Drosophila melanogaster: one gene and its partners. Changing the gene in region 3 together with the main gene of any one other region gives a genetic interaction. Each region holds a gene or a part of one and is shown on either strand. Other genes may lie near its edges.

What was found.
Region 1: of sca (region 3) and Hs3st-B, changing one enhances a phenotype caused by changing the other (phenotypic enhancement), as found in Drosophila melanogaster (one study listed by BioGRID).
Region 2: of sca (region 3) and dx, changing one enhances a phenotype caused by changing the other (phenotypic enhancement), as found in Drosophila melanogaster (one study listed by BioGRID).

The regions. Positions count from the first base shown.
Region 1 is NC_004354.4:19,244,842-19,255,677, forward strand, and holds Hs3st-B (heparan sulfate 3-O sulfotransferase-B), read left to right. Parts: upstream 1-3,797; 5' UTR 3,798-4,299; coding exon 4,300-4,482; intron 4,483-4,897; coding exon 4,898-5,361; intron 5,362-5,912; coding exon 5,913-6,420; 3' UTR 6,421-6,433; exon of another isoform or gene 6,434-6,609; 3' UTR 6,610-7,204; downstream 7,205-10,836. Other genes in the region: CG7992 (uncharacterized protein), read right to left, coding at 431-1,554, 1,896-2,153, 2,213-2,273; rictor (rapamycin-insensitive companion of Tor), read right to left, coding at 7,881-8,903, 8,961-9,690, 9,762-10,680, 10,750-10,836.
Region 2 is NC_004354.4:6,529,429-6,541,354, reverse strand, and holds dx (deltex), read right to left. Parts: upstream 7,357-11,926; 5' UTR 6,943-7,356; coding exon 6,454-6,942; intron 5,835-6,453; coding exon 4,551-5,834; intron 4,489-4,550; coding exon 4,346-4,488; intron 4,278-4,345; coding exon 3,977-4,277; 3' UTR 2,780-3,976; downstream 1-2,779. Other genes in the region: RpL7A (ribosomal protein L7A), read left to right, coding at 8,851-8,865, 8,934-9,057, 9,150-9,520, 9,924-10,229; Agxt (Alanine-glyoxylate aminotransferase), read right to left, coding at 10,686-10,857, 10,926-11,788.
Region 3 is NT_033778.4:12,776,495-12,786,124, reverse strand, and holds the start of sca (scabrous), read right to left. Parts: upstream 5,585-9,630; 5' UTR 5,263-5,584; coding exon 4,733-5,262; intron 2,515-4,732; exon of another isoform or gene 1,883-2,514; intron 1,825-1,882; exon of another isoform or gene 1,777-1,824; coding exon 1,383-1,776; exon of another isoform or gene 1,306-1,382; intron 1,248-1,305; exon of another isoform or gene 785-1,247; intron 726-784; exon of another isoform or gene 1-725. UniProt on the Drosophila melanogaster protein: Involved in regulation of neurogenesis. May encode a lateral inhibitor of R8 differentiation. In conjunction with Gp150, promotes Notch activation in response to Delta by regulating acquisition of insensitivity to Delta in a subset of cells.

The DNA of each region.
Region 1 (10,836 bases), on a different chromosome or scaffold from region 3:
AACCTACACCACGTAAACAAACACCCACTATCTGGAACCCACTTAAGGCCTTGATTGTATCTCTATTGGGATTGTTTGGAAAATTGGAAAAGAATTTACAGCTCTTTAATGATGATAAAGATACAACTGCAAAACCTTTTAGGCGGATCATATGAAAATGTGTATATCAGAAGTTTTGTATCTAATTTCCAAAGAATTTGACTTAAGCAGTTATAGTTCTATATTTAATATTCTTAAGTCGTTTATATGCCTTGATATATAGACGAAATTTATAGCTTCTTCAACTCAGGCTCCTATTTCTGTTGTCACCAATTGTATGTGGATAAAGACTGAGAAGTCTTTTTATTTTCGATTCATTAAATACTGAGTATTTGTGATAAGATAAGAAAGTGTGTGTGTACAGCTCGGGGACCTAAGCTCAAATTCGGGCTCACTGGTTGATGGTGGGAATGGTGCCGTCGTTCAGCCAACGGACGTTGAGCTGCTCGATCTGGTGCTTCATAAAGATGATGCCGTACACCTCGTACTGGATCTCCAGCAGCTGGGCGCGATGCGTCCGGGGCACCTTCATGCCCACCACGAGTGCCAGCAGCGAGGTGATGATGAGAAAGACGAATCCCTGGGCCATCAGAGTGCTCGAGTCGGTGGCATAGAAGTAGGAGTTCTTCGCATCCGCCACAAAGTAGAAGTACACGATGCTGGTGCAGATCAACTTGAGCACATACGAGATGCATATGATGCATTCGGTGAAGCGCAGATGGGTGACCTCCAGCAGGAGAATCTGCTGCTGCGAGTACGACAGGCCAAAGAGCACAAGGAGCAGCCAGAGCGACCACCTGGAGTCCGTAACGCTGCAGAGGATCATGGCCAGCAGAGTGAAGGAGATGAGGGCCACCTGCGAGCCCACAAAGGTGACCTTCACCGACAGGAACCACTGGCAGATGAGGGCCAGCAGGCTGCCCGCAAAGATCACCCAGAACATGCCGTCGATGCCGGAGAACTCTGTCAGCCGGATGGCCGGATTAAGGGCAAACCAGTAGACAAAGTACACGAACAGGGCGAACTGCACGGCCTCCGTGAAGAGGAGCAGTAGCATTATGTTCCACTGCTGGTTCTTGGTCACGTAGAAGAACTGCAGTCGCTTGATGACCTCCGATCGCTGCTCGAAGATGCTGCCATTCGAGTTGGCGATCCGCAGGTCGTTGTCCATGCTGTTCACCAGGTCGACGGTGCCCAGAAAGTGGAGCACCTTCTGGCCCACCAGAATGGCCAACACGGCGGCCGCCACACTCAAGTAGGTGCCGGCGAAGTTTACATAGATGCCATCGATCAGTTGCTCCGTGGTCACCGTCTGTCCGGCCAGCTCCTTTACATTCCGGCTGTAGGAGGCCACGATCAGGCTGACGGCGGACGCCACGCCCAGCAGGTAGCAGCTGCAGCTGCCCGAGAGGAACAGCGACCTGCTGCCCTTGGAGCTGATCGTGAGCAGGAAGCTATAGCCGGCCACGAAGGTCATGCTGTGCGCCAAGTACGATATATAGGCTCCGACGTGGTCTGAAGTGATAATAATAGTGGGATTAAGGAATTGGAAAAACTCGCTGAAATCATACATTCAAAACATTTCTTAACGATATTGATTTAAGAATATAGATTTCAAAATCTAGCCAAGATTGAATCATGCTCAACATACTCAGATCGAGATCGAATCATTTTCAGATTGCAAATCACTTTGCCTCTCTCTCTCTCTCTATTGGGAAATAAATTCAAGTATTGTTAACTGAAATCTATTTCAAAACTTATATGTAGAACATCCCAGTTCCAGCCATATAGATACAGATTGATTTACTTTTCACAAGCCTTTCGAAGCGAATTAATAGCCCATAGAAATGACTCACCAAATCCATCGGCAAAGTAGAAGCAGCTGCCTATGAGATTAAAGACTCCGGCTGCCAGGAGCAGCCATGGCTGCCAGTAGACGATGCACTTCTTCACGAACTTGACCGTCAGCATGGCCAGGGCAGTGATCAACGCCCAGCAGGCGCCCAGAATCAATGGTCCATAGTGAATGAGTCCAGCGTTGAGGTTCCGCTCCGCAACAAAGGCGCAGATCGTATAGCCAAAGATCATGCCGCAGGGCAGGAAGCACAGGCAGACTGGAAGTGAATGAGACGTAATCTCTGGACAAGGATCTCCATTGGCGTGGCTAACTCACCCACATAGCTGGGCGCATATTTAAAGAACTTCAGCACCAGTTTGCCCCACACATTCGACATTTTTGCGATAGATTTGCGTTAGTTAGTCCAGCAGCAGGGAGAGGAAGGTTCGTCTATCGAAGGAGCTTAGAGCATTTTAGCGAGCAGCTGGAATGGAGATGCCTACGATGCGACGCCGGACAAATGGCAAATGGGCCGGTGGAAGTCCGGCGGAGAATTCGACTGCGACGAAGGCGGCGCAGATAAGGCGATAAGATAAGCCAACCCGACCCGACCAGGTGCATGTGTGTGGTGGCCATGGATACACGGGCGGAAAAGTTGAGGGTTTGGGATTATCTAGCCATTTCTCCGCTCGGGTTCATGAATTATGATAGTCAAAAGGAAATCCGATTATGTTGCGCATCTTGTGGAGAAATTCGTTGGTTATAGATCAATGTTTTTTTTTGTACCTGAATGTATCTTTTTTTGAGCAAGTATCTATCTATGGCATTACTCGAAGTACTATATTTCCCATTTTATGTAAATATTTTTACCCCAATTTATATGATCGAATTTCCTGGCGCTTTTTTCGCCAGTGTATCCCAAAGTGAGTGACTAATGCCGCAGTGGAATAAGCCACTTGGACAGATAAACAGATGTCCGCCGGTTGATAAGCTCCTTGGCAGTTGGCCCAACTGAGGGCCCCTACTATTTACCACGCTGCCACGGAAACGTACAATTTTTTGGCCTTTCATATGCATAAGAAAACAATGTGGCAAAGGCCATTGGGCCATTCCAACGATAGGGCTTAAAACTAATCTCAAATGGCTAATGGTGATAGGAGTACGGGCAATAGAACGTCCGGCGATAATGCTTGGTAAATTGATTTCAATCCAATATTAAATGCCAGCAAGTACTTTATCAGACGCAAATGGGGTGGTTGGGTTGTGGGTGGGTGGTTGGTTGCCAAAGTGGGTGGGGGTAAGTTCTTGGTTAGTTTGTTTACCTTTGAGCGGAAAATTGATTGAAGCCGAGAGCAAAAAAGAGAGAGAGAGAGAGTTGCGACAGGAAGTAAGAAAATAAAAGGCCGTATACGAAAAGATTATGGTCGAATAAATATTAAGATGGCATTCCCAGCCTACATAACAAACTATATACATATATACATTTTTAGAAATAATAAAAAATATTAGAAATACTACTTAACGATTGCGTTTTTGGAGTACATTTTATCATGTATTCGTTGTGAAGTTAGAAATTAACAAATCAATAATGTCTATTATTATTGCTTAATATAAATATAACTTTATCAGACTTGGAAATTAATTACTAACTTAAGTGAAATACTTATTTATTAAGATTTGATTTGTGTAGAAAGCAAAGATTTCGTCAAACCCTCACAAAGCGGAAATTCTTCAGATTTTAGTATCTTTTGATTTAACTATATATGTCTGCTTTCTTTCTTAAAGACATGATGTGATAGCAAGCTGTCACTACATTAATTATCTGCTACATTCAAGACTTGGCACTTCTTTCGGGCAGTGTACATTTGCGACGTCACACCAACGGCGATTCGACGAGCTGGCGAGAGAGCAAGCAAAACGCTCAGTTGCATAAGCGTCCCGAGACGAGAGAGGATGTGTCCAATGCGCCTGTGCGCTTCCCAGGCGCAACCATGACACGGCCGCTTCCCCCACCCATCCTGTCATCCTGCACAAACGGAGCCGAACCGGCGGCCCAGGCAGCGCTTATCCGCTGGCAGGGCACCCCAATGTCTTGGCCCTGCCTTATCCCTGGCTTTCACTTCCGCAACTCGGCTGCGACGACAGCTCCGGCACTTGCAGGCCGAACTCGTAGCGCCAGCACCACCCCAACCACACCAACCACCCACCAGCCACCTAACAGCAGCAGCAACCACCAGCAACTACCAGCAGCTCCAGCGTTGCGAACAGCCCCATTCCTTCAGTTGACTTCGCGTTGGCGGTAGCCGCCAGCCGCTGCTGCGATTGCAAATCACAATCGGAATCCGGATGCTGCAGGCAGTGCTCCGGGGCGACTGAGTGGCAATGGAATTTGACGGAGCGCTCGGAACCGATTATACCGCCAGATGCGAGACACGGCAGCCACTAGCGCCCAGCCAGCCATGATTGTGATGAGCATCTGGTGCAGCAGCCTCAGCCTGAGCAGCCGCAGCCTGGCCATCGCCCTGGTGATCTGCGTGACTCTGGTCTACTTCTCCTACAGCTTCAATGCCTGCCTCCTGGCCAGCATCAGTCGCAGTCTGCAGCAGGTGAATATGTCCACGAATCACTGGACAATGTCTAAGTGTAGGGGCTAAATGTATCCAATATCCAATGCATTTATTCATGAAAACAAACTGATAATTGGAAAATCGAATATAAAGTTTCGCTACACACATGTGTAAAGTGGAGCCAACTCAAAATTAGGGGGGGGGGGGGGGTTGTAATAATCCCCAGCGGTTTCAAAACATTTAACAAGCTGTCCAAAAGTGTGCTGTGAAAAGTTTAAGTTTTGTCTTTCGCTGAACTTTGCGATGCTATCTACATACATATATACGATTATATATATGTACATTTATAGTTGCATACTTTTCGGCATACTTACAAGTTGGGCATTTTCATAAGCCAATATGTTGATATGTTTCGCACGATGTGTGGCATTGACCTCTGACCTCTCCCGCGCAGAGCAACTTACGCAATCTACTGGCGCTGACCTCCTCGCCCCGCAACGAGACCAATAACGCCGCCAACAGCAGCAGCAGCAACAGCAGCAGCAGCAGGAACAGCTCATCCACCACCGGTGCTCCGCCGGCACAGACGGTTACTAGCAGCCTGGATGGGGCGCCCAAGTATCAGCTGCTCCGTCAGCAGGGGCTCCGACCATCGCGCCACCTGCCCGACACGCTCATCATTGGCGTGAAGAAGAGCGGGACGCGGGCGCTGCTCGAGTTCATCCGCCTGCATCCGGACGTGCGGGCCGCCGGTTCGGAGGTGCACTTCTTCGACAGGCACTACCAGCGGGGACTACGCTGGTACCGCCACCACATGCCGTACACTATCGAGGGCCAGATCACCATGGAGAAGACGCCCAGCTACTTCGTCACCAAGGAGGTGCCGCAGCGCGTCTACCACATGAATCCGGCAACAAAGTGAGCTTTTCTACATCAAACCTATTGTGATCATAATCGTAAATTGTTACTCCATCAGATTTGATAGAACTTAAAAACGGTCAATTCTTAAAAATGATATTTTTAGAATACTGCACTTTATCCACAAGACTGTATTTAGTCATAGCATACTTTTTAGCACCTATAATAGAAGTGTTGAAAATTGAAGAGAGATACTTTTTAAGGCCGATTTGATATCCCTTAAATATTGAAACCGTACGTAAATCGTAGCATACTATATAATAAAAGTGTTTCAAACGCTTAGCTGAGATTTTTAAGGCGGATATCCCTTAAATATTGAGTCCTTTTAAATATGTGCTTTATACACAAGACTTTAGAACTTGTTTTAGGTTTTATCATACTTTTAAGCACCTTAAGTGAAATGGTTTTCGGAATACAACATTCGATTTGATCAACATAGAAGGGATTAACATTATATTCTAAATGCATTATGCGTTTTACATTAACCCTACGTATCTGGACCATCAATCACTAGCATATCTTCACTTAACCTCAATTTTATACGCCCGTAGATTACTGATTGTGGTGCGGGATCCGGTGACGCGGGCCATCTCCGACTACACACAGGCGGCGAGCAAGAAGGCGGACATGAAGCTCTTCGAGCAGCTGGCCTTCGTCAACGGTAGCTACTCGGTGGTGGACACCAACTGGGGCCCGGTGAAGATCGGCGTCTATGCACGCTATCTGGAGCGCTGGCTGCTCTACTTTCCGCTCTCGCAGCTGCTCTTCATCAGCGGCGAGCGGCTGATCATGGATCCCGCCTACGAGATTGGACGCGTACAGGACTTCCTCGGTCTGAAGCGCGTGGTCACCGAGAAGCACTTCTACTTCAATGCCACCAAGGGCTTCCCCTGCCTCTTCAAGTCGGAGGCACGCTCCACGCCCCACTGTCTGGGTAAGACCAAGGGGCGCAACCATCCGCACATAGATCCCGGGGCCATCGAGCGCCTCCGGGAGTTCTACCGGCCCTTCAACAACAAGTTCTACCAGCTGACGGGCATCAACTTCGCCTGGCCATAGGATCCACGGCTGGGTGAGTAGACGGAACTGGGATACGTGCAAGGCTAGTACCGAAATGGATTGGATTGGCCAGAGGCTAGGCACCTTCACTGATCTGCTCAATTTACATATCACATCCATCCCCATTGGAGTATGCTTGACTATCCCTAAGCCCTAATCCCTAATATCTGGTATCAATTTCCGTTTCAGCGGGCGTGAAATGAATGGAGTTTGAGAATAGGAGATATTGTTGTTGCTGGCCACGGCAACGGACTGATATTGTTGATTGCATTTTTGATACATATAATTGTACTTATATATAGTATATACACACACACATAAAGTTAGTGCTCAATTAATTGTAGCTTTATCAGGAGACAAATTCAACGAAGTGCGCAACCTGAAAAGTCCGCACTCAAACAATACGGTTCCTCACTCCAATTCAATTCAAATGAAATGAAATGAAATGAAACTCACTTTTCCCACTATACTCGAATGTCAGGCAGTTGGACGTGGAGGAGCCACGTTCGATCCGAGATGGACATGGTTCCCCCGTCCGCTGGGCACACACATTGCTATGTACTACCACTACCTAAGATCATTATACCTAAGATCATTATGTGCATTTATATACAAGAATAGTGAAAAAATAGAGCTTACTACGAAATTCCTACAGTCTCCTAAACTAAACATATACAAAATATTGTATGCATAGTTCCAACAATTTCAATTGCATGACTCAACCAATACGATTGCTTAGCCAATTTCAATTAAAAAACAAACTAAATAAATCGACCTTAAATCTAGTCAGCCCCTAAGAAGATTGTTATCTTTCCATACGATTTTAAGTAAATAGCACTTGCTGGGTTTAACTTTTTCAATTTTTATAGTTTATTGATTTCATTTCATTTTGGTTTTAAAGTGATTGTGAACGATTCACGGTATGCTTCTTGCTTTGTTTTCAACAATAATGATAATTTCTTGGTTTAAGGTTTGTGTGGTCTTTTTGCTTTCGCCTGCCACTGGGTCTCTTTTAGTTTTAAGTACATTAATTAAATAAATTGCGGTGGTTTGTGGTTGTTTCTTGTTGCTTCAAGGCAATTATCCAATTTGCTTTCGATCTGCTTCTATAAAATATGTTGGTACACGCTACATAAGAAAATTATATATTATTTTTTGGGATTTTTGTCGTTTGTTGGTTTCCTGCTTACGGTTATGAATTTCTTTAAAAATAACTATGCATAAGTGGTGATCGTAAAAGTAACTATGGTAATAACTTTAATTTTAACAAACTAGTCGAAAATAACTTAAATCCTATAGTACGGATTGCCTTAATCTACGTAGCTACATGTTCTTTGATTTGATATATTACATTTATCCGATTGGTTTCGGTTTAGGAAGGCGGGCGGCCAGTAAACGAGATGTAAGAGTAGGCAGTGCGTCCCCATTGGGCTACTTCAATTGATCTTCCGCCAGTGCGTCTAGGAGTTGTCACGCACAGTTGTCAGTCCCACACCACCGGATGCTCTTCTCGCCTTCGCCACCTCATCGAGGACCGCTTCCGATTTGGAGCTCTGCAAGCGCTTCTCGCAGTACAGGCTGCCCACCGGCCTGGCCATCGATGCCGACAAGCTCTTGGTCACAGTGGAATATCTTAGGGCTGACGAGGAGTCATTGCTGCCACCGGTCCGCTGCATAATTGGCAGCGCACTTGTATTCACATCTGTCTGAACCGTGGGCTTGGACTCGATTAAACTTTCGATTGGTGGAGGCGTTGGTGTTCGCTGGCTGCGATTCTTGATGGGAAACTTGTTCTTGGTGCAGCTCAAATCGAGCTCCAGCGTATAGAATCGTCCGCGTGTGAATTGCCGGTTTTCATTCTTTAGACTTGTACTAGCATTATCAGATGCGCTTGTCCCAGCACCAGCGGAGTTTGAAGTTGCCGCACCTGGCACCAGCTGGCTTGCTGTGCATGTGCCAATGCTGCTACGATTGCTGTTTCCTGTGGGCAGGGCTGTATGAGCGGTGGTCACCGAGCTGGCCTGGGTGCCGGCTCCACTGCCGTCGCAAACATCCTCACCGGAATCATTTTCGCCATCGGTACTGGACAACGAACTCTCCGTATCGTCAATGTGCAGCTGGTTCCGGGCCTTTGCTTTCGTTTGAGCATTGGCCGGTTGATCGGCAGGCGATGACTTGTTTATCCGTGGCGACTGGTCCATCAGCAGGTTCTCCCAACTAGTCTCATAAACGCTAGCCAGTTGGGCCGCCGGTTTAGGCTTGAGAATCGTTTGCTTAAACGGCATGGCCTGCATTGCCGTGGGGGCCGTGGCCTCTGCTTTTTCCTCAGCGGAAAACTTACGTGCCCCGATTATGAGCTGAGGCTCCACGTAGAACGAGTCAAAATTAAGGTCCAGAAAGAGCTCCTGCAGGAAGCGGCGGGCTATCATCCGATAGCTACTCCGGCCTATCGTTTTGCAGGCCTCCGAATAAAGGCAAATATCCTAGAGATAAAAACGTGGTAAGTACGAACCATCATTTGGATTTCAAATGAGTCTCACCTGAAAGGCGTGCGGGTGTTTCTGCTTAAGCTCCAACAGAGCCATTTTCGACTGCTTGGCACTAACGGGATTGGCCAGACGCTGCACGTTGTACAGAATGGAGGCCGTAAGCCTGTCCGGCAGGCTATCCTCGCTCAGCATGCTCTCTGGGGAATGGAAGCTGATGTCGGCGCCAAGTGCCGCTGAAGCTCCTTGGGCAGATGAGCCACTCTTTTTAGCCAAAACTGGTCCAGCCTGGATGCCGGCTGCCACCAGAGCTGCTGCTGCACTGCTGTACAGCTCGCAGGGAGCGAGGGATGCGCCTCCTCCACCATTACTATGGCTGCCGCTGTCATTACGCTGCTGTCGCGGGGAGCGGGCACAATGGAGACACAGACTTCGCGAGTGCTTGGCGCCTTGCTGCAATTGTCGTGTTTGTCGCCGACTTGCAGACGAGACGTCCGACAGCGATGATATAACCGATGACTCGTCGCCGCCCTCATTGGTGAGTGAGTCATTGAGACACTGTGGCCGTAGCATGGTGTTCAGCAGATTTATGCCCACTATATCTTGGTCCTGGATATCCCGCGAAACGTACGTTCGACTGAGGTTACGCGTCGGAAACAGGTCCAGAACGTTCTTAGGCAAGCAGATACCCGCATAGCATGGCCCTTTCAAATCATTAGGAGGCAGGAACTTGGGAGCATTAAGCGTGGGCAGAAGCACATTCAACTCGTCCGCGGAGAGGCGTCTATGAACAGATTACCAAGCAACGCTATTAGTACCTCTTAACGCGACTACCATCCACAAAGGATGACTCACCTATAAACATCACTTAGCTGGCGGTCCAAGCTGCGTACCTTAAGCCGACGGTGGGAATGCGTCCAGTCGAGCTTGCGCATCTGAACCTCTGGTGTGTCCAGTATTTCCGCAAAGTCGTAGAATTCCGCCGAAGATTCGGAGAATACGGGTCGGCTGTGCTTGCGCAGGGAGCGTAGCTGGACATAGCCCTTCATCGCCATAGGACTGAGGGTGGAGGGCAGCATACTGGTGGCTAGCTGATTTCGACGAAACAGCTCATCGCTCTCGAGCAGATTGGACATGCTTGGAATAGGACTCAAAGGGAATTGCTGTAACTCATTGGCTGCGGCGGCATATGCAGCTGCAGTGCGTCCGGTCACCGATTCGCAGCTGCTAACGCCGGAAGTGTTTGAATCCGTGCACGAGTTGTAGCGTATTCGATGCTGATACGGCGTTGGGTAGAGAACAGCTCCCGACATCGTACCTACACCACTGCCCAACAAGCTGATCACATCCGTGGTCTTCGATTCGGAGAGCGAGCGTTGGTGCTTGCCCTGACGCAGATTGCTACCTTCTGGCAAAGTCTTTGATTTGGCAGCCACTCCAACCAACATTCTGGGGTGCACATCATCGGTCGTGGTGCGAACACTGTCCGTGGTCGTAATCGTTGCATTTGGATCCTGCACTATAGGATGCATACCGACGACTGTGCCGGCTACACCCCCACCACCACCACTCGCATCAGTCTGATCGGCGAGCATGTGCCAAAAGTCTGAGCCCGTTTCGTAGAATCTTTCTATATAGTCATCCATCATGGTCATATTGTCCGCCGGCACGTCCTCGTAGTAATGTCGCACCGGTGTGTACTGGCTGGACATCCAATCCTCCGGCTGATGCACGGGCCACATTGTGTTCTTGTCATGTCGCACGCTCAGCCAGTCTGCAAAACATGCATTTTTCAATTAGGACACAATCAGTTTTTCAAACACATTTGTGATGGGACACTTACTCAACTTAAAAAGGATATTGGCACCTGCCTGTGTGCCTGCGATAAGACCTAAGGCACTAAAACAGGTGGCCCTCACCGAATATACCT
Region 2 (11,926 bases), on a different chromosome or scaffold from region 3:
CTGTAGTACCTGTGCAATTGTACCCACCTGTTGCTGCTGCTGTTTTTTGAGCTTATTATCAGAGAAAGACGTCGACTTGAAGGCTTTTGTAACTTTAGACGACGCAACAACGAGCAGCAACGTATGTATTTTTGTGTACTTGACAAATATTTAAACAGTAAATAGTTTAATTTACGGAAAGATCAAGTTGCGCCTGCCTTTCCGGCGAAAAGTTGCCAGCGACTTGCGCGCGGTTAAAAACGCGGGCGCTACTTTGTTTTTTTTTTGTTTTATTTCAACTCTGCCGATTGTTTGATTGATTTGCGGTTTATTTGCTGGATGTTGCTGCTGTCACACGCGACTAATAACGCGAAGGAGTCGGGTTTCACCTTAAAACAAATACTAATTATTTCACAAAAAAATAAAGCACGAAGTGTTGCAGTGTCCTGCAACAAAACAGTCAAAAAAAAAAATTAAACGCGTAAACACTTTAAAAATTTTTTTTTTATTTTTCGAATGCAACAGCGAGTGAGTTTTGATGTTGGGTTTGTGCGGCAAGCCAAAGGAGGCGGAGGGCTGAGGGGCGTGGCGAATGATGCGGTTGGCACGAGCGGAGGCTCTTGACTGATTGCAAGCCGCTGTTGTTGCCGCATTTAGGCGCGGGCTCTCTCGGCGGCCCAAAGCGGCGGCGTCGACGCCACTGCCACTGCAACGCTCTCTACACTTGGGGAAAAACATGATCACAACTAGGAAGTATGTCCAGCATATCCAGAGAGAAGGGAGTGAAAAACTGAGACTTAATGTGGCTTGCAGCAAGCATAGCATACTTTGTGGCGTTCTAGATACGCAAATTGTATAGGATCTTAGGATCTTAATAATAGCTGTGATTATATTAAACACCATCTTATTGATATGAAATTTGGGATACGAGTGGTTATTGAAAAAACAAAGAAGTTGCCTTCAGGTCGAAAGTGTCCATTTCTTAAGCTGCTCTTTTTATGAACTATTTTTGCGAGTGCATGCAACATGCATATCTCTCAGCGTCAGCTGATCCTGAGCGATAAGGAAAGTGAGAGCGAGCGAGAGAGCGACAAAACTTGATAATCCCAGCTCATTTGCATGACTAATGACCACTGGGTGCGCAAATGGGAGGGGTATATACGAGTGTAGTGGAAAGACAGGAACAAGAACACAAAGATAAAGACAAGAACATAAACAGGAACAAAGTCAATGCCTGCCAAACCCTTTGCATATTTTTCTTATGAGACTTTGCCATGGCAATCCAATATGGATTTCTCGCGTGAATTGGAAAATTTTTCTTTTATCATGTTATACAATACAATTGGCTTGTGCAACTTAAAACTTAAGTGGTTTTTGGGTTATGAGCCAATATAATAGCTGTTTTTTACCATCAAAACTGTGTGTGTTTGCCATATATTTCAGTTGAGATATCTGATGTTAGAGTTAAGGATTAAGGCCTTTTCTTCTAGATGGATATAGATGTAGAACCTGAAAAAGAAGACCAGTTCGAATGGCCTTATCGCTGGTGTCTGTCACAAAACATGAAAATGGTCAGGACGAGGCTGAGGACAAAAAAAAAAACAATTAAACAAAAGGCGAATGTCACAGGGTCAGTGGAGCAGGCTTGTTTATTTTGGCCAAAACCACCTTATTAGCGATCTCATCATCAATACGCACTTGTTGTCACCCCTCTCTTTCCACGCCACACGCTTCGCATATATCGCGCTCTGTCTGCCGCGTTGTCGTGTTGCGTGTGTTGAATGTCAACGATCAGCGATCATTGTCAGTCGCATAAAATCGCATAAAGATTGCATGAAATGCTGTAAATTCTAGGAAAACATTTGCTTATGCAACTGGCACAAGGAAAACAGCCGCATCAGCAGGAGAGGCATCTATTTTTAGGATACCTGACCAGAGTGCTCAAGCTGAAAAGAGTTGTATCTATATCCCAATATCTAATGATCACTTGATGATCCATAGATATGAAGCAGGCCCAAAGCCAGAGAAATCTACAACTTTCAGTTGCTCCTCGATCCTTTCACATCGTAGACTTGGCCAAGTGCTGCTAATGCCAAACTAACGACTTGCAACAAGAACAGCTGCGGCCGAATGATTGGCCGCCCTTGGAGGAGGAGCAGTGAAAGCCGCTCTGGGCCACGCTATATATATATTGTCCACTTTTGGACACTGTCCTTGCGCCTGCCTGACGTCAGCACGTAGGCAGTTGAAGAGGCGACATGGCGACAACGACAACACGTCTTCAACTTGTTGCCGCTGCGCCTTAAATGGCCCGGAGCAACTTCACCAGAGCATCGCCAACATCACCAGCATATCCAACATCACCAACACATCACGCACTCGCTGCACTGCACAATGACAAAAAAAAAAAAATGCATCGGATTTTTTGTCTTTTATTAATTTATTTTAAGTGATTCACGGCGGCGTAGACTGAAAACGAAAACCGAAAACTGAAAACAGCTAAACCTTGGAAGTTCCAAAAATGTCAACTGATTGATTTGAATTGCACCGCATTGGTAAGAAACTGGCAACAATGCAACAATGCCATAGAGCCACCTAATTGGAATTTAAGCTTGTGCTGGTAATTAGTTTACAAGCAGCATGGCACAATTGAGTGAATAATATAACATAAGAGGCATAAAGAAAAAAGTCCCAAAAGAAAGAACTCATTCGAACATACATACATAAGTGAAAAAGTCCAAAAAGAAAGATTTCCTTTTAGACATGAGTGAATAAATATCCCAAAAGAAAGACTTAATTTGAACATGAATGAAAGTTACTTTATTTGAACTATATATAAATGTACTGTATTATATATGCGTAATATGCATACATAAATGGTGTGGAATTTGTTGTGGAATATTCGCAATGAACTTTAATAACTAATCAGTGCTAAATACAACTTAGTAAAATCATATCATATCATATATCAAATATGGTGGCGCGGTCAGTAGCCGCTAGCTGTCCGTACGATCTCTACATACTATATGCTATATATGCTATATATTGGCGATGTATACGATAGTTCGTTCGATGCTCGATGATATCAATATGAAAGCAACAATTCATCAAATGTATGCAAGGGATTCGATAAAAAAAATTATTGTTATGTCGTATGGCTATGGGGCTATGTTAAAATATGTTTATGTATGTATGTATATGTATATGTATATGTATATGCGTAATGGAATATCTGGCTGCGTTACAACTATGCTTCCTAAATGCTCCGTTTAATAATGAATAATTCAAATTAAAATCACATCAAATTCGCTGAATGAAAGAGATTAAATGGCCAAGACAAGTGAGACAAGTCTATCGAATTTACCCATCTCCATTTCCTCTCTCAAAATACTATTTTAATCCTATATAAATCCGATATAAAGAAAATTCACATGGATCTGATGAAAGAGACAAATTCGAAACCGAGAGAGATGGAGAGATGGGCAATGGTTATAGCTAGCTATATCAACAATATACATATCCTATAAACGGGAGCGCTACGATTTTGGCACAGCTTGCACTCGAATGGCGTGGCTTGGCTTGGCTTGAATCGAATCAGGAATCAAGAATCAGGATAATGCCTAATACTAGTAGGTGTCTTGGGTCAAGATTCTCTTGGGAACTACAGCTACAACTAACTAACTAACTAACTAGCTAATACATATGATGTACGCCAACTTATTGCGTATGTGCGTACAAATACGAATTGGAAGAGCGGAAAGGAAGCTACAATTGCAATTGTGGTTTGCTGTTGTTTTAGGGTTCGAGCAGCTCGAACGCTATTACAATATATCTATAAAAAAAATATATCATAGTAAACGAGGATTGCACACACACTGAGATTATGTAGAAAGTAACTTAACGACGAATGGAAGAGAATGATCGAGGGGACTTCGGTGGGTGGGTGGTTGGTTGATTGGTTGGTTGGTAGTTCTACTCGGGGACAGGGAACTAATCCTTAATCCGTCACGCCCAGGTGCACCAGCTGTTGCATGGTTCGTTGCAAATAGGTGGGATCCGGAAACATATTGAACTGCGTCTTGTGATCCACACTGTTCCAGATCACCACATCCTCGCGTCCGGTGGTCACCGATCGTCCGATCGAGAAAAGCAGCCGACGATCGAATGCAATCTTGAGGAAGCGCAGCACTTTTCGCCCCAGCGGGCAGTCCGGCAAGTAGCAGATCCGCGGAAATCCCACGGCGAAGAAGGCACGACCCGGATGCGGATGCTCCTCCGTCTGCAGTCCCGATGCAATGCTGCCATGCAAATGAAAAAGAGTGATTATAGTTGATTGCTCAGTGGCCACAGGCACATTCACACTTACTCGTAAACAATCTGTATGGTGTTCTGACCCTCGTGTCCTGGCAGATTCTTGCTGATTATGCTCCACGACATGCTGCCAATGGGCTGATTGCCAACCTTCTCGCCGTAAACGATGCCGCATACAGGGCACTCGATGAAAAGGTTCTAGGGGAATGAAATTTAAATAAACTTTCTCTTTCTAATTGGCATCGCTTTCGCGTGCTCACCTTGTTCATTTCGTTTTGCTGGGCAATTATCATCCCATTGAGGCACTGCAAATGCATGAGATGCTGGCAGCGACTCAGCGAAATGGCCGGATTCTGGGCGGAGTGCACCAGCTCCTCCATGCACATGGGACAGGGCTGGGCATTGGGCCACAGCGGTGGCTCCACCACCTTGACAAAACGCGATATCATATCGCTGGCCGGGTCCACGCCCACAATCGAACCGGCGATTGATTGCTGCTGCTGCTGCTGCGCCTGTTGCTGCTGTTGCATCTGCAGCTGCTGTTGCTGTTGTTGCTGCTGCTGTTGCTGTCGCGGATGCAGTGGTAATGGCGGCGGCACCGGCGCCCTTTCGCCCAGCGACGATGGCGGCAGCGAGGGCACAAAAACTTCATCGCTGCCAAGCGAGCAGTCCAGCAGATCATTGACCGAAATGGCAAAGTTCCTGCTGCGCAGGCTCTCCTTGCTCTCGTGGCTGAGGTAAGTGGACACAGTGTCCACACTGGGTCTCCGCCGATGCGATTTCACACTGTTCGTGTCCGTGTCCGAGGTCCGCGTACGCGATCTCGAGCGATGCGAGCCCATCCGGCTGCTCCTTTGCGACTGCAGCGATCCCTCCGAGCAGCGACTATGATGACTGTTCATCGAGGCAGTCAGCATGTTCTTGGCGTGCGAAAAGTGCGCATGCGACAGATGGTTGGCATGGTGCAGCGAGGCCGATGAGGAGGATGAACTGGCACTGGCCGCCGTCGACATGTTCGATTGGTGCTTAGTGCTGCTGCTGAAGATGTTTAGGTTGTTGAGTATCTGGCGTAGATTGGTGGTGGAGATCTCGCTGTGCTTCTTGGGCGGCTTCCTGGGCGCCGTCTGATGATGGATTTGATGGTGCTGCATCTGATGTTGCTGCTGTTGCTGATGCTGTTGTTGCTGATGCTGGTGATGATGTTGCTGCTGCTGCTGCTGTTGATGCTGGTGCTGATGCTGCTGCTGCTGCACTTGATGGCTGGTGGGCAATGGGTGCTGTTGCCTGGTCATGGGCACTCTGTGCAGGCTCTTGGTGTCTCCCAGTTTGGGTAGAGTGTTGTACTGGCTGCTCACGCTGGCGGAATTCGACTTGAGTTGGTTGGCCTGTTGTGGCGTTAGTTTCACCAAGGGATACGGCGCCTGTTGGGTACGCCGAATGCTGCGCATGGGTCCGCTGGGTTGGCGCAGCTGGGTGAGATTGCAAAAGTTAATGGTGTACGGCAGGCCGATGTGGGTGTTGCACAGGTCCAAGGTTTGTTCGCCCTGCAAGGGAGTAGGAATAAGTTATGTTACAATCTATAATTGATGATATTGATTGATTGATATGCGGTTGCAGTTGGACTTTGTGCAAGAAGAAGAATAAATTTATATAGCCCCTAAAATTTGATCATAATACCATAACTCAGCCAAAACTCCAGCGATTTAAGTGCGAATGATTTTAATAGTCATTATTTTTAAAGCAGAAAGTTTCTGTATTCAAACTTTTACAAAAGTGAAAATTAAATTTTTTTTCAATTTTTTTGTCCCATTTTGAGGTTGCAAAAATGGAAATTTTTGAAAAAAAAATTAATTTGATTTTAGCTAAAAAATTTAAATGCAGATTTATTTGTCTAAGCATCAGAAATTCAAAAAGGTACACTTCTTCGATCTACTACGTTTTTTGGCTGAGATGTGAACTGTGGAATTTGGCTTATATGTACTATTTAAACACCTATGGACACATCACAGACTGGTGCATCCTTAGCCAATTCTTCAGGATCAGTGGTAAACCCACACTCTTTTAAGATTCCCCATATATTCTCCCGATAAAAAAATTCCTGAGCAACTCAAAATTCCAACTAGACTGCCAATGGGAAAACATTCGATTCTGCACGGCACTCACCCTCGCCCAGGCGTCCTCGATGATGCACTGGACGTGCATGTTGTAGGGCCGCCAGTCGTTGTTGCTATCGGCACTGCCGCCCGACCACTCCCACTTGGTGCCCTTGCCCGCCGGCGAGCTGGGTGCGTAGAACATGCGCCGAACACCGATGGTCAGCAGGCCGGAGCCGGCCGTTTCCGCCTCCGATTCCTGGGTCATTGTGCGCACGTTGACGTAGTACTGCTCCAGGCTGGGATCCGCATCGCTCAGCATGACGCGCGTCAGTTTCTTGGCGTGGGCGCGTTCCAAGTGCTGCGACACCGCCGGCGAATAGGGCAGCCACTTGCCGCGCGACTCGAACTCCCACACGCAGACGGCGTGGGCGTGGTTCACGGGCGGCCCACCGGATCCGGCGGTGGACAGGGCCATGGTGGCACAACTGGAGGCGGCGCTACCTCCGCCACCGGGAACAACGGATCCGGATGCCGCACTTCCGGCGCTGCTGGCCATTGCTTGCAGTTGATCCGTTATCCGTGGAGTGAGCCCATTGCCATATCCATGCCCATTTCCATATCCAACTCCTCCTGCGCTCTCTTCACTAGCTCTCACTCACTCACTCTCTCTCTCTCGCTCTCTCTTGCTGTTGCTGTCGCGCTATCTCGCTCGCTCGCGAAGATGGGCACAAAATAAACAAAGAAATTAAAAATGGTGGACCCGCTGCCAGCGTTAGTTATCCCTGATTTTCCCTGGCTTCCATTTTCCCGAAGTTTTCGTTCTGGTTCTTTAGTCACTCGGTTTCGTTTAGGCGCAGCTTAAGAATTCACGTTTGATGGTAAAAACAGTTTTTCTAGCATTTAGCGCAAGCGCAGGCGAGAAATTTTTATTGTTGGACAGCGATTTAATGAGAGACAACAGCGGAAAATGGCTAAATAAGGCCGGATGAAAATACCGCACTGCATCTGCAGCCACCAGTTGGATTCGGTAGTTTCAGGGTTGGCATAACTGGTTGCTAGCTAGATCTAGCTAAATGTTTAATATTTTTTATTTTCTTTTCTTGCACTTGAATATAAACAGATACTATTTTTAGCTTGTTAATTAATCAATTAATATATGTGTAATTGAATTCTATATTGAAATGAAAAAAATAAGAACTTGCAATGATTTTACTTGATATTAATTTCAATATTTTTTATTTACTTTGGCAAGTTTAAGCTACTTTTCTTAAGCAACGCGACCTCCAACACTGGCTGCTTCCAAAGTTTCTTTCTATTTAGTATTTCTTTTCAAGATTTTCGGTAATACAAATCGGTCACTTTTAAGAAATTCATAATTTGAGCATGTCTTTGCTGTAACGATCACATTTGTGGTGTATGTCCTAGATAGGATGGAATGTTAGATATATTATTTTTATTTAAACGAAAGGTATTCTGACCACGATTTGATTCGTTTTCAAGCGCTGGCCTATTAAAAAAGAAGTTACGCTTAAATAACATTGTTTTTTAACTTATCTGATGTACCTTAAAATTTTTAAAACATAAATGGAGCGAGTCTCTGCTAAGAATAAGCATAGCCTCTCACCTCGGTATATCGCTTCTTTTGGCGTTTCGGTGCAAATGTGGCACGGTCAGATCGAATCTACTCGATTTCCAACATTGGAACTGCCACTTCCTTTCTTTTTCGTTCCACGTTTCCGGTGAGTGCATGTGCCTAGCGAGCAGTCCTGAATTTTGTGCTAAAAACCAATATTTTATTTACTTTCAGCGAGTATTTCGATACGTTCGTGGTCGTGCTTATCACAGGTAAAGCTCACAATTCCAGAAATTCACCCAAAAACTACGCGGCCGGCGAAAATGTGTGCAAAACCAAATTTTTTGTATAATTTTTTTTCTGTGGGCTTCCAAAGCCGGATTTAAATGTGCCACTTAAAAGAACAAAGTGTAAACAACACGTGAAGTACGCAGTATACTCCGAAAACCTTTTTTTTTTTTGTAGTGAAATTGCCAAATTCCAACCCATTTGAACAAAAATGTGCGTTGCGGCATGTTTTTGTGCATGTGTTGGTGCAGGTGTATGGAGTGTGTGTGTAGAAGTGTTGTTAAAGAAACCTTAAAACTTCAAAGTTATCAAAATGAAAGTAATATTTCTTCAATTTAATGAAAACGGAGTAGATTTCTTCGGAAAATCTGCGAAAAAACGTGTGTTGTTTATACCCAATTATCACACACACACACACACACACACGCAAGCAACATGGTTTTTTTTTTCTTTCCGTACTTACATTTTTCATGCACGTGTTTTGCTGGTCGCCGAAGTTTTGCGTGTTTTCCCATTAACTTTACCAAGTTTAAAACGTATTAATGTGCTAATTCTTTTTTAGCAACTGCTTATTTCGGTAGCAAACTTTAAAACCGCTTGAAAATGGTTGTCAAGAAGGTGAGTTATCGGCGTAAATTTGCTGTTAACTCGAATTAACCTAATGCGTGTTTTCATTGCGTTTACAGCCCAGGCCAAAGAAGAAGCCAGTGACCAAGAAGGTGGCTCCCGCTCCTCTGGCTGTCAAGAAGCCCGTGGTCAAGAAGGTTGTTAACCAGCTGTTCGAGAAGCGTCCCAAGAACTTCGGAATCGGTAAGTGCACAAAACATATTCTATATATATGAATATTGCAGCGGAATTTCTTACATATTAGCTAAATGTATACATATTCTCTCACTTTGCAGGCCAGAATGTGCAGCCCAAGCGCGATCTGTCCCGTTTCGTTCGCTGGCCCAAATACATCCGGGTGCAGCGTCAAAAGGCTGTGCTCCAGAAGCGCCTGAAGGTCCCACCACCAATCCACCAGTTCAGCCAGACTCTGGACAAGACCACCGCCGTGAAGCTGTTCAAGCTGCTGGAGAAGTACCGCCCCGAGTCGCCGCTGGCCAAGAAGCTGCGCCTGAAGAAGATCGCCGAGGCTAAGGCCAAGGGCAAGGATGTGGAGCCCAAGAAGAAGCCCAGCTATGTGTCCGCCGGTACCAACACGGTGACCAAGCTGATCGAGCAGAAGAAGGCCCAACTGGTGGTCATTGCCCACGATGTTGATCCTCTGGAGGTTAGTTTGACTCAATTGTCGCAGCTCAAAGCTTGCACATCATCCAAATATTTGCAAATTTGCAAATATACATGGTTCTCAATCACGTTGCGATGATGAAAAAATTTCTTCAACTCAAGGCTTCTCGCTTCCGGCGGCTAGCAGGTTATCCTGCTCCGGCGGAGTGGGTTGCTGCCATGTAGAAATTTGACTCCTGACGCCTTAATTCTTTGTTAAGGATTGCTAAATCCTTGGTTTATCTTTGAATTAGTTGAAGAGCTAACAACTAGATCTAATAACTAAGCCAAAGATAAAGTTAACATTTGAAGAATTGAGGGCAACTTGATTGCATACAATGCGCAAGCCCACGAACCACGTGGTTTTCCAAGACGACAATTGATTAACGCGTTAATTTCCATTCCAGCTGGTGCTCTTCCTGCCCGCCCTGTGCCGCAAGATGGGCGTGCCCTACTGCATTGTGAAGGGTAAGGCTCGTCTGGGTCGCCTGGTGCGTCGCAAGACCTGCACCACCCTCGCCCTGACCACCGTCGATAACAACGACAAGGCCAACTTCGGCAAGGTCCTGGAGGCTGTGAAGACCAACTTCAACGAGCGCCACGAGGAGATCCGTCGCCACTGGGGCGGTGGTATCCTTGGCTCCAAGAGTCTGGCCCGCATCTCTAAGCTGGAGCGCGCCAAGGCACGCGAGCTTGCCCAGAAGCAGGGTTGATTCAATCTGAAGCCGGTCCGGTCCGATGGTGGAGACTTTTAAGTACACATGGATGAAATTAGTTGGGCCATGCTCACTGAATTTGATAACTAATAAACTTTTAAGTGTACAATTTTTTTTGTTTTTTTTTTTTTTAATCTAAGTGCCTGTGAGAGTGCTTTTGGATGAGTCGATGATTTGGCGTCGGCTTGGATTCAATAAATCTAAGATGTATCCATGCCCATCACTCACTTTGTTTTCCGCCAATCGGGAAGTTGTGCCTGTGAGAAAGAGAAGTCTTCTTGAATTGAATTTGGCCAACTTCCGCTTCTTTGTACCATTTCTCTCTAGATGACAACAAATTTCACATGCCATATGTTTCAAACATTTAGCGAACAAAAGACAAAAGGAAGTACATTTAGTTTTCCATATTTGTTTTTATTTTATAACTAGTGATAGGAGCAGGGCAACGATTTGTTAGATTTTCGATAGATCCGTCTTGATCCCCAGCTTGCTGCTCTGAATGGCCTCGTTCAGGATGCTGAGCACCATGTCCACGCGCTCCACGGTAGCGTTTTCGCCCATTAAACCGATACGGAAGACGTGCTCCACCGTGGGACCCAGACCACCGCTAATCTCAACGCTGTACCTGGAAAAAAAGAAAGGATTCAATACGGATCTCTATCGAGGATTCGCGTCCAGTTGTACAATACTCACTTGCGCATGGCGTACTCGGCCACCTTTTTCCAGTCGACGCCGAAGGGCACCTTAATCGTGTTCACCGTGGGCAAACGCTCCTCCTCGCGCGACACAAACATCTCAAGACCCAGCTCCTCGATGCCCAACTGCAGTCGCTTGGAGCACTCCTGATGGCGACGCACCACCGCCTTGAGGCCGACGGCACAAAAGTGGGCCAGTGCCTCACGCAATCCGTAGAGCAGGGTGGAGGATATGGTGTGGTGGTAGATGCGGGGTGTGCCATAGCAACCCCAGTACTGACCAATCAGCAGGATATCGAAGTAGTAAACCTTCGGCTTGGTCTTTCGCTTTCGGATGCGGGTCAAAGCACGCTTGCTGAACGAAATGGGCGTTAGACCGGCGGGACCACCGAGCGATTTCTGCGAACCCGTGTACGCCACATCCACCTTCCACTCGTCCATGAGGAATTCGGTGCCGCCGAGCGAAGCCACCGTATCGACGATGAGGAAGCAATCGTACTTGCGGCACAGTTCGCCCAGCTCACGGATATTCTGCTGGATAATGCCAGTCGAGGAGTCACCCTGGGCAATGAAGAAGACCTTGGGTCGATGCGCCTCGAAGGCGAATGTGATCTCTTCGTGCGACAGTGCCCGGCCGAAACTCGCCTCCACGTAGTGAACTTCGGCACCATAGCGACGGGCCATATCCCCGGCCCGATGACCCCAGACGCCCGTGATGCCCATGAGCACCACATCGCCATCCTCGATCAGATTGCACAGAGCGGCCTCCATGCCCGAGTGGCCGGCGCCGCTGATGCACATGGTGGCATCGTTGAGTGTCTGAAAGATGTACTTAATGCCCTCCTTCACCTCGTCCATGATCTGCAGATATACAGAGATTAATATACAAACACCTGGCCATGCTCAGTGGGAATAGCTCAATTCATGGGGGGATCACTAATATTAGATTGCTATAAAGTATAAGAGATGTGCTGGTTTCACTCGACTGGCTAGCCCACA
Region 3 (9,630 bases):
AACCAAAAACCGAAGCCGAAACGATGTATTTTTCCCTTTGAATTCCCACATATACTTCTTAAATTTCTATTTCGCCCTTTGAGACTCGCAAGTAATTGCGTCAGCTCGTCGAAATTTTCTCGGCTTTGTGGGCGAACGTAGCACATATACAATTTCCAGCCAAGCCCGTGAATTTTGTTGGCAAGAAGTGTACACATTTTGCTTCTAAGCAAGCAAATTTCGCTTAAGCCAAACTTCAAAGTGGAGCGAAACGACTGAATAACGCTGGAGGAACGGCAAACCAGCCAGCAAGCAGATCAAAACAGGTGGCTGCCAAACCAGTTTAATGGGGATGAGGGGCATCAGGGCCCCACTGACATATTTCGTTGATGGTCCAACAACGTTACCGCATTCTCATATTGGAGCGGTCTGACGCATAATCCTTTTAATGAAGCAACCTGGAGCTGGTTACCTGGCTGCCCTTCCATCGCCATGGCTCCCCCCTGCCAGCTGCCTTTGTTTTCACTCCATTGTTGAGGTTGCTGCTGCTGTTGCTGCTGCAAGCCCTTTATTGACATTAATTATAATTAAGGAGGCGGTAGGGTGTCGAGTCCTTACATCCCTGCACCTAGGATGTGGTAGCATACGAGTCGGAGTCGGTACAAGTCCAAGTCCGAGTCCTTCATATGCAGATCCGATTTCGAGAACTCCACATCATTCACTGTAAGCCCAACATGAGAGCCCCAGTAAGTATGCTCGGATTTTGACGAAAGGATGCCACTGATCATGGCTCCATCATTTGCAGCAATCTCTTTATAAGTCGCCCGGGGGCCCAGGAGGAGATTAAGGCATTGAACGTGAGGCCTAAGTGGCTGCCAGGGACGGTCGAGTCTGGCATTAAATATTAAATACGACAACGTCCTGCGGTGCGTATGAGTAATTTGGCCAACATGTGTGTGTGTGTGTGTGGCGGGCCGTTAAAACGGCGGGGTAAAAGGCGGATTGCGATTTTGGACCCACTCGTTAGCACATCGTGCCGCCCAACGCCCAACGCCCACCACCCACCTCCAACCTCCTATCTGTCACAACCTTTAGCGCTCGCTCTTCACCTGGCGGAGGGTTTGGCGTATAAAGTAAGGCATAAAACGGCCAGATAATGGCCCGCCACGTTGGTGGCCGCTTTATGGGACGCACTTAAAGGAGAAAGAAAACAAACCAGCGGCTTTCTTTCGGGAGTCATAAAAGGATACACTGGGAGAAACAGATATGTATGTATATCCTTTTCAACCTACACATTTAAGTAACAATAAACACGGAATCATTTAGTATTTTTGCCAGTGCACGACTGCTTTACCTTGGCCGTCGCGTGCTTATCTGATGATTAGCATAAAGCAGGTACTCACCTCCTGGTTGGCTTCCTGGCTACCGCTCTCCTCCTCCACACTGGCGGATGAGCCGTCCTTGCGAGTCCTCTGCTGCAGCTTGACGAGGGCATGCTGGAAGTCCTGCTCCTGCTGGAGCATCTCCTCGCGCAGTTCCTGGACGTAGACCTCCGTCTGCTGCTGGCGCTCGCGCTGAGCGGCCAGATCTAGCTTAAGCTGCTGATAGTCACTGCGAATGGTGGCCAGATCCTCAAAGGTGGAGCTGCGCTGCTGGACATCCTGGGCCACGTTGCTGGCCGTCCTTTGCAGATCCACCAGCTGTTTGCGGATCTCGGAGATCGTCTGCTGCAGCCACTCGACGGTCAAGCGCTCCTTGTTGCCACTCTGCGAGGAGCGCAGCGCGGCCAGCTCCTCCCTGAAAAGGAAAAAAAAATTTAATAGGTCTCTAATTAGCAGGGGGCAGGTAATGCTTTAATTGCTACACTCTGGCCAGGAAATCTAATTTAAATTGACATTTTCAGGCTGTCGGCTAACTTAATTGCCAATGCGGCTGGCGTGCGGTCCACTAATGGGATTTTGACCTGCACTCAATCATGCTGCAGCCCCACCTCGATACCGCTAAATTTCCATCGAGCGTTTAATTTAAGCTCTGCGAGATTATTTCACCAGCCCCAAACATTGTCGACAAACGGAAATCACAGAAATCAGGAAAAGCGGACAGCGGACAGAAATTCACAAATGGCGATGGCAAAGTTTGCCGGAAAACATTCAAAATAAAAAATCAAGTGCGAACAGACCGCAAACAACAAGTGCTGGGTGAAAACGTTGTTTAAATGCTGAGAATGAAAATGAAAATGTTGTAGCACTTGTGGCAGTTGCCAGCTACCAAAAAATAAGAGCGAAATGAGACCAAGACCGAACGAAACGCATTTTTGTGGCATTTCAGACAATTAAAGTAGTCAGTTGGAAGGAAGCGGAAACGGAAGCACAGCCGCAAGAAGCTGAACAAATTCGGAGCGTAGGTAAAAAGTTTTGTTTTTCGAAAGGCAGCAGCAGCCGAAGAAGAAGAAGGAGAAGCAGAGCAGCTGCCGCTGTACTTTTATTTTTCACTGTCAAAAGAGCACAGCTACATGAAATTTTCATAAAGAAAAAACCCAACCGGCAACAAGACAAAAATAAAGTGGTCCAAAGAAAAGTTGTGTTCCCCATCTCCTGACTGGTGGTGGATGTACATATACATACATCACATTCGGTTAGGTTTTTATTCATGCCAGCCAGCGTATACGTAATATTTCAAATTGTTGCATTGTGCGTGGGCGTTTTTTGTTAATTTTATGGCTTGCAAAAGTTTTTGTGGCCCCATCCAGACAGACTATGAAAAGTTATGGATTTGTTGGGCTCTCCGTTTTCCACACAATTACTTAAATATTTAATTAAAACAGGTCGGGGGTCTTGCAAAAGTTGGGACATCAAAAGCCGTAACTGACCACCCAGCACTGCCGGAAGCCCAAAACTCCACATGTACACATATAGCCAAAGATTTGGTATGCCAAATAGAATAAAAATGTGTTCTTTAGCACGGAGCTGAAAAACTTGCATTACTAGCCCTAAAAAAATAACAGTTCCTAACCCTGCCCATTGGCAACTTTTGTAGTAATGCCAAACCAACCGAATTTCCCTTTTCGCCTGGCAATTTTTCGCTTGGCTGCCGTACCAGCTTTTTCCGTCCAAAAAAAAAAAAAAAAAAAAAAAACACTGACTGTCATTCAACGGAAAATTGAAAATGCTGTCAATGACAAGCGAGCAAATTGAAAACGCAACATGAACACTGCAAATGCCGAACTTCATCGGACCTGATTTGATGACGTCTGATGGTGTTCGCATCTGGATTTTCTGATTTTTTTCCAGTTTAATTACCAAATTGGACGCAGCGGTGTAACTTTTGGAAGCGAATCTTGTTATCAAATCAACAGAGTGGACCTGCCCAACACGCTATTCAGCTCAATCAGATAATGATGTTGCCCGACTGAGCGGACTGCGGCTAAAGCTGATCCAGATGGGCGGTGGGTGGAAATTGGGCGGTAAGTGGGCGTGAATGTCGGTCGAAGGTACGTAATGTGGTCGGTTTTGTGTGGGCGGCGGAGATAGTGGATCACATAAACCACAACTGACATGACGTTTGACTGGCGTTTGCCTTGGGAGTTGGTAGCTCCATCCCCAGCTCCAGCACACCATCTCCACGGACAAGTCCCTTTTGCAAAACACACTCCTCATATGTATATGGAGTGTATAAACACGAGCGTGTGCTGAATTATTTACGGTGTCACTGACAAAGTTTACGATGTCCACGACAGCAACAACAACGGTCTAACCTTGGCTATTTGTTCAGTAAATTAAGAGTGTGCCATTTTTACGTATTTTTTTACGCTGCCACAGAAGATGGTATTCCGAGTGGTAGTGGGTAGAGTCCGGTAGTGGCACTGGCGAAACTGATATATGTGTGTGCGTTCAGCTCGATGAGACAATCATTATTAGTCAGCCCATGACAATGACAACAAAACAAATCACGAATGCTACGCAAACTTGGGCTGGGCCACTGGCTCGTGTCTTTGCTCTGATTAGATGTCTTATCCTGCCGCTTCCTGCGTTTTTCCCCATCACATATTTGTCTGAATTAGTGGAGCACAATCATGTGCCGCATAGGAATTCTATTCTTCATTGCACTGGCCTCGAATGAAAAAGTTGAAGGATTCGCAAAATGGAGGGAAAAACTGAAGTTTTCGCTGTCACAACAGTCGTAAATAATTGCAAGCGCCGTGTCAAGGGAAGATGGGAAAAACAGTGATATAGCATGAGAGAACGCTGGATAGGAAGGAGTGTGCCAACTATCATATACCTATTAGTCAAGGCAAGTGATTGCGAAGCAAATGGACATATTGCGTGAATACTTTAAAGGGTGGAAATGACTAACTATCATAGCTATCTTAAAGTGAAAGGAGTGCTAGGACAAAATATAGCAACTAACCATGATTCGTATCATGCCCCGCAGTTACCTTATCATACGTATACAAATTTGTATGTCCAACTTAATTTAAATGCATTAAATCTAACACTAAAACTAGACTCTTAAATAAGAAAGATATATTTTTCACCCTGTTTACAAACTGTTGCCCGCTTTAGAGGGCCATCAATTTGTTGGCCAAAGTTGGGCGACAAGTTCTACGTGACTGCGGGAAAGTTAGCGCCAAGTTTCTAGGCCCACAAATTGCCAGCGAGACATTGACCAATGGAGCGGGTCTGTGTCTGTGCGCGGCGCAAATTAAAAATTCAAATTCGATTTAGAGCAGGTGGGTTAAGCCTGGCCAGCTTACCTGAGTTGGTTCAGTTCGCTGCGCATGTCGGCGTCCACGCTGTTCGCATTCGTGGTGAGCCGCAGGGATTTGCGCAGATTGTGCTCCAGCATCTCGTAATCCTCGCGGCGCCGCAGCATCAGGGCGTTGAGCTGCTTGGTCAACAGGCGCACCTGATCGGCCATTTTTTTGCTCTCCATTGTCCTGCCATCCTGCCGTTCAATGGAGCTGATGTCCTCGCTATCCTCGTCATCATCGACGAAGCGGAGCAGCTCCACGCTGGATTCCGGCGCTTCCGTTTCCTGTTTTGAGTGCACAACGGGTTTCTCCGAGGTCACCACCTTGGCATCGCGCAACATGTTGTTCACGTCGCTAAGGACTACCCCACCACTGGCCGCTCCACTCACGAATGCCACGGATATTTGGAGCAGCACCACGGCCAGGAGTATTGGCCACAAAACGTTTGAACCTGCCATTGTTGCAGGGCAATTTAAATGGTCACGCGAAACTTTCTTTTTTTGGAGGTCCGGGAATGTTTGCCAATCTCTCATTCACACCGCACAAAAAAGGGAACTCGAGTTAGATGGGCAATTTATGCAAATAACTGGCACGCATGCCGACACACAAACAATTCTCCTTGACTTTCCGGCGCCGTGACAGTCAAACACCTTATAAAAAGGCGCTGGCAAACAATGCTACAATTATTCCAGGCGTTTCCTCGGGCTTAATCCTTGTTGCTTGGCTTAGCTGTTCTTTTCACTTTTGGTCCACGGAAAGTTCGCTCGCAGCACTGGATGAAGTATATCACCGATTTCACTAGAGCACCTTCCAATGGAAGGATGTTTTCAGCGCGGCGTTCTTCGAAGGACTGAAGCGGCGCGTCTTCGGCACTTCCTTTTATTCGCTGCCATGCCGAATGCTCGGCTTCGTTCGGCACGCTTCGGCTAAAGCGAGAGAGCAGACGAGTACGAAGTTGCGGTAAAGGCAATGGTAAATTAAGCGGGGGAATTGCCGGGGAAGAGTGCCGAAGAGAGCAGCCACCTGCCCGAAGCATGCAACAAGCAGGAAAGAGAGCGACAAAGAGAACGCATCAAGTTAAGAGAAAATCAATGAATAAACTCGATGTTAGATGCCCGAAAAATGTCCTTTGAAATGTTTGCTATTACCAAAGATCATGTCTTTAAGGCAGCAGTTACCATTCGGAGTTTCAGATAGCGAACGAGAGCAACACAAAATGGCGGTCTAGTTACCCGGTGCTTCTTTTTTGCACTCATCCTGCTCCTGACACATGGCGCGGTTGCGGTGAGACTACAACGAAAACAAACTGCAACGAAAACGGCAGATGTTTCGGCCCCATAGGCAGGCAGGCAGACAGAAGGCGAAGTGCGAAAACATGCTGATGTGCTAGATATACTGCAAGACGAACAAAAACCAGACGGAGCCAAATGTCCCGAGTACGGGTAGTTGCAAGGAGGAAGGACAGCCCATAGGCGCACAAAAGAAACTGCAGCAGCGAAACTCTCTATTGTCTTTGGAATTCCTCGTAGTTACCTGGGGGAACAAGATTTCCTGATTCCAAACAATAAGGATGTTCGAAGCAAATACCTTGATAGGAAATCAGATACTAATGGCTCAACTATTGCCTGCATTCCAGACCGAAATCCCTTTAGATCTGCCGCTTTTCGGGACATTTGTTTTTAGTGCACAGTTGGTGGGAGATCTCTATATAAATCTATTTCTATATAAATCTCCCACGACCACCCACCCACGCGATTCGCTGATAAAAGCCGGAAAAGGTTTTAAAGTGCAAAGTTGGAATGCGGCTGCAAAAGTCACAGGCAAAAAAGGAGCAGGCGTGCAATCGAATGGGTGGTCGTAAGCCCACTAACTGCAATGTTGCAACATGGCTCCAAAAAAAAATGGTAGGGGGCCCATCGAAAGTGGGGAAAATGTGTGCAAAAAATATGCCAAAAATGCCGCCTTACGCACCGAAAAAAAGCGCTGTAAGCTATGCATTTTACTATTTTTGTTCCATCCATAAATATACAAGGGGTGAGGCAGGTTCCGGGGTCAGCTGAATGGAATGTGCGCTTGGCTGAGCAAAGGGAGGGAAATTGGTGGAAAAGCGGGGGGGGGGCAAGAGTAACGACTGCAAGGGGGTGCAACAGTCTGCCATTGTTGGCACTTGCCGAAGCTGTGTTGCAATTTGCCATATTTTCATACCCTTGCAAGGAGTTTTGCAATGGCAAACGTGCATTTGGTCAACTAGAACAATATATGTGTCTTATAATCTATAATTTTAGTATATATTACTAGAAAACTGCTGAAATAAATGGCATTTTACAACAGAAAGTAATAGCTCAAACCAGCAATAATTTCATTTATTATTTATTCATCGAAAAATCTTAACTCGTTCTTAGTTAGAAGCTGTAGAAGCTGCGTACATTAGTTATTATTATTAACAATTAAAGTATGTTCTCCAATTATCGCCTAACAATTAAGGTAAGGGCATATTGAAGGTATCCAAGTGTATTCCCATCTTCGGGTCTCCCAATTGCGCACTACCTATTATTTCGATGTCGTTTTCGGTTTTACTTTTTAATGTAGTGCTGGCAGCGAACGTTGGTCAGAGAAGGCAGAGAACAAGCCGGAGCTGCTGGCCAGCCCCTTTGTGGTGGCCATCATCAATGGATGTGGCTGCATAATCAAGCGGTGGCCACATGCACATCCATGCCACATGCATGGGACATACAACTTGCCCTTGCCATCCGGCCGTACTGTTTGCATATTTTGAGTGGACGCAGTTTAGTTTTTAATTTGATGCCTTTGTTTGTTGTCATTCTGTTCTAGCTTGTTGCACACGACAAGTGCATTGTGGGATGGGGCATTGCACCTGGGAGTGGTGGCTACCGCCATTTGCATGGCACTCTCCCAACCCCCACTAGCCGACCATTTGCCCTCGTGTCCATGCCACCACCCCACTGAGCATTTGTTTCATTGTCGCCCGTTATATTGTTGGCTTTTATGCAGGGAAATGTGGCTGGAAATGGCAGCGAATGGCTCACGTTATGGTCAGCATATTAAGGTAATGGCCTGGAAAGTCTGTCGGTCCTCTCCAGTTCACTCCCTGAATTGGTATTAAATGTGAGCGTGGCACGACTCGAATGGAGTTCAAATTTCATTCCACTCATATTCGATGGGGATTTCAACGGGTGCTTCCCATTGAAGGCTCTTTTGAGGTCTCGTGCAGGTGCTAAAAGCAGGTACTCTATACGATTTGATGGGCCACCAGCATTGTTCTTTCCAATTGCACTTATACTAAAAACAAATCACTTTATGTAATAACCAACTGGGTTGTAACACCTGGCTGCAGAATAAAATATAAGGTTGGCACTACTGCTCATAAATCATTAATGGTAAAATAGTTATTGTTATAGTATTGCCTACTAAACCATATGAATTATTACTCCTTGTACACTAAACTTATATATAATTTAAATATTTTAGCAATTTATATATAATAATATAAATATATATATATATAATATATAAATATATATTATATTTAACAATTTATAAACAAATAATCTTCATACAGATTCCAAAAGTGAGTGGAATCGAAAAATGCGTCTCTAGTAATTCAACTCACTTTAAAACACATTTATTTTAATGAGTATACGAAATTGGATTCAACAATCAATGCCGGAATGCGGGAGCAGGTGTCTCTTATCTGCACATTGACCAGTTCGTGGCCTTTCTGGCCAGGCAAATGATGAGGGCTCATCAAGTTGGCTTAAGGCATTGTTGATTCTGCCCAGTGTGCATACGAGATGAGTGCCTGAGCCGAGGACAGGTTCCGCTTATGCGGCATGCAACCAAGGAGCACGCAACCACGCACGCGATACATTTCCAGACCAGGCGACAGTTTTGTGCCTTTTGAAAGTATCTGGCCAAAAAACAACGATCGACAAGAACGCTGCGCAGGCGCAGTTCCAAACTGAGCACTAATCATCTGAATGACAACGGCTGCAACAGCTGAGGTAAGTTGGCCGGCCGGCCGTCCAGTCAGTCAAGCAGTCAGGAAGCACTGAAAGAAGACTTCCAAACCGGCTGAGGCCGCTAACGGCAGGTGCAAAAAATTTACCACTCGAACGAAAATTTCCTACCTGATTTAATCTGCCGCTGTTGCTGCTGCTGCTGCCGCTATTGTTCCCTTTTTTCCTTTTTACTGTTGCAGCGGCTGGTGTTGCTGCTGTGCCAAGGCTTCGCTACGTGTTGTTTCATCAACTTTGGGACTTGTAGCCATTGGCGTGGTGTGGCATGTTGCCTGCATGCTCCGCTGATCACACACACACACACACTCTGGCCACAGCACACAGATACACACGAACACAGCGTCAGACACTCACACTCGCAGATACTTTTGCTATCACTCAAGGCTGTTGCTGCACGGCTGCCTCCGTTTTAGCCATCCACTTCGGTGGCTTTTTCTTGGCAACACCAACGCACCAGCGCTGTTTGTGGTCTCCTTGTCATTGCATTCGCACGCTCTTCGCGGAGAGAGTGAATGGAAAGGAAGGAGAAAGAGGCGGCAAGGATGCAGGGGAAAGCACACATTGACAGACCATAAAAACAATCCCTAGAAGCCATCAACCGAATGAGGGCTAATGCTGCCATTGACCACCATAAGGCAATCAAAAAGCAGTTGCACTGAGCTGGAATGTGAATGGACCATGTGATACCCTAAATTGGTCCTATTAAGTCTTATTTAGTACTTCATGAATTATATTTAAAACATATATAGCAATGCCATAATTGGTAGATATCCTACAACAAAGGATCTAAAATAAATATATTGCTTATTGGGTTGGTGAAATGGAATTCATTCAAGTCTAAATAGAAGTGATTCCGTGTTGCTT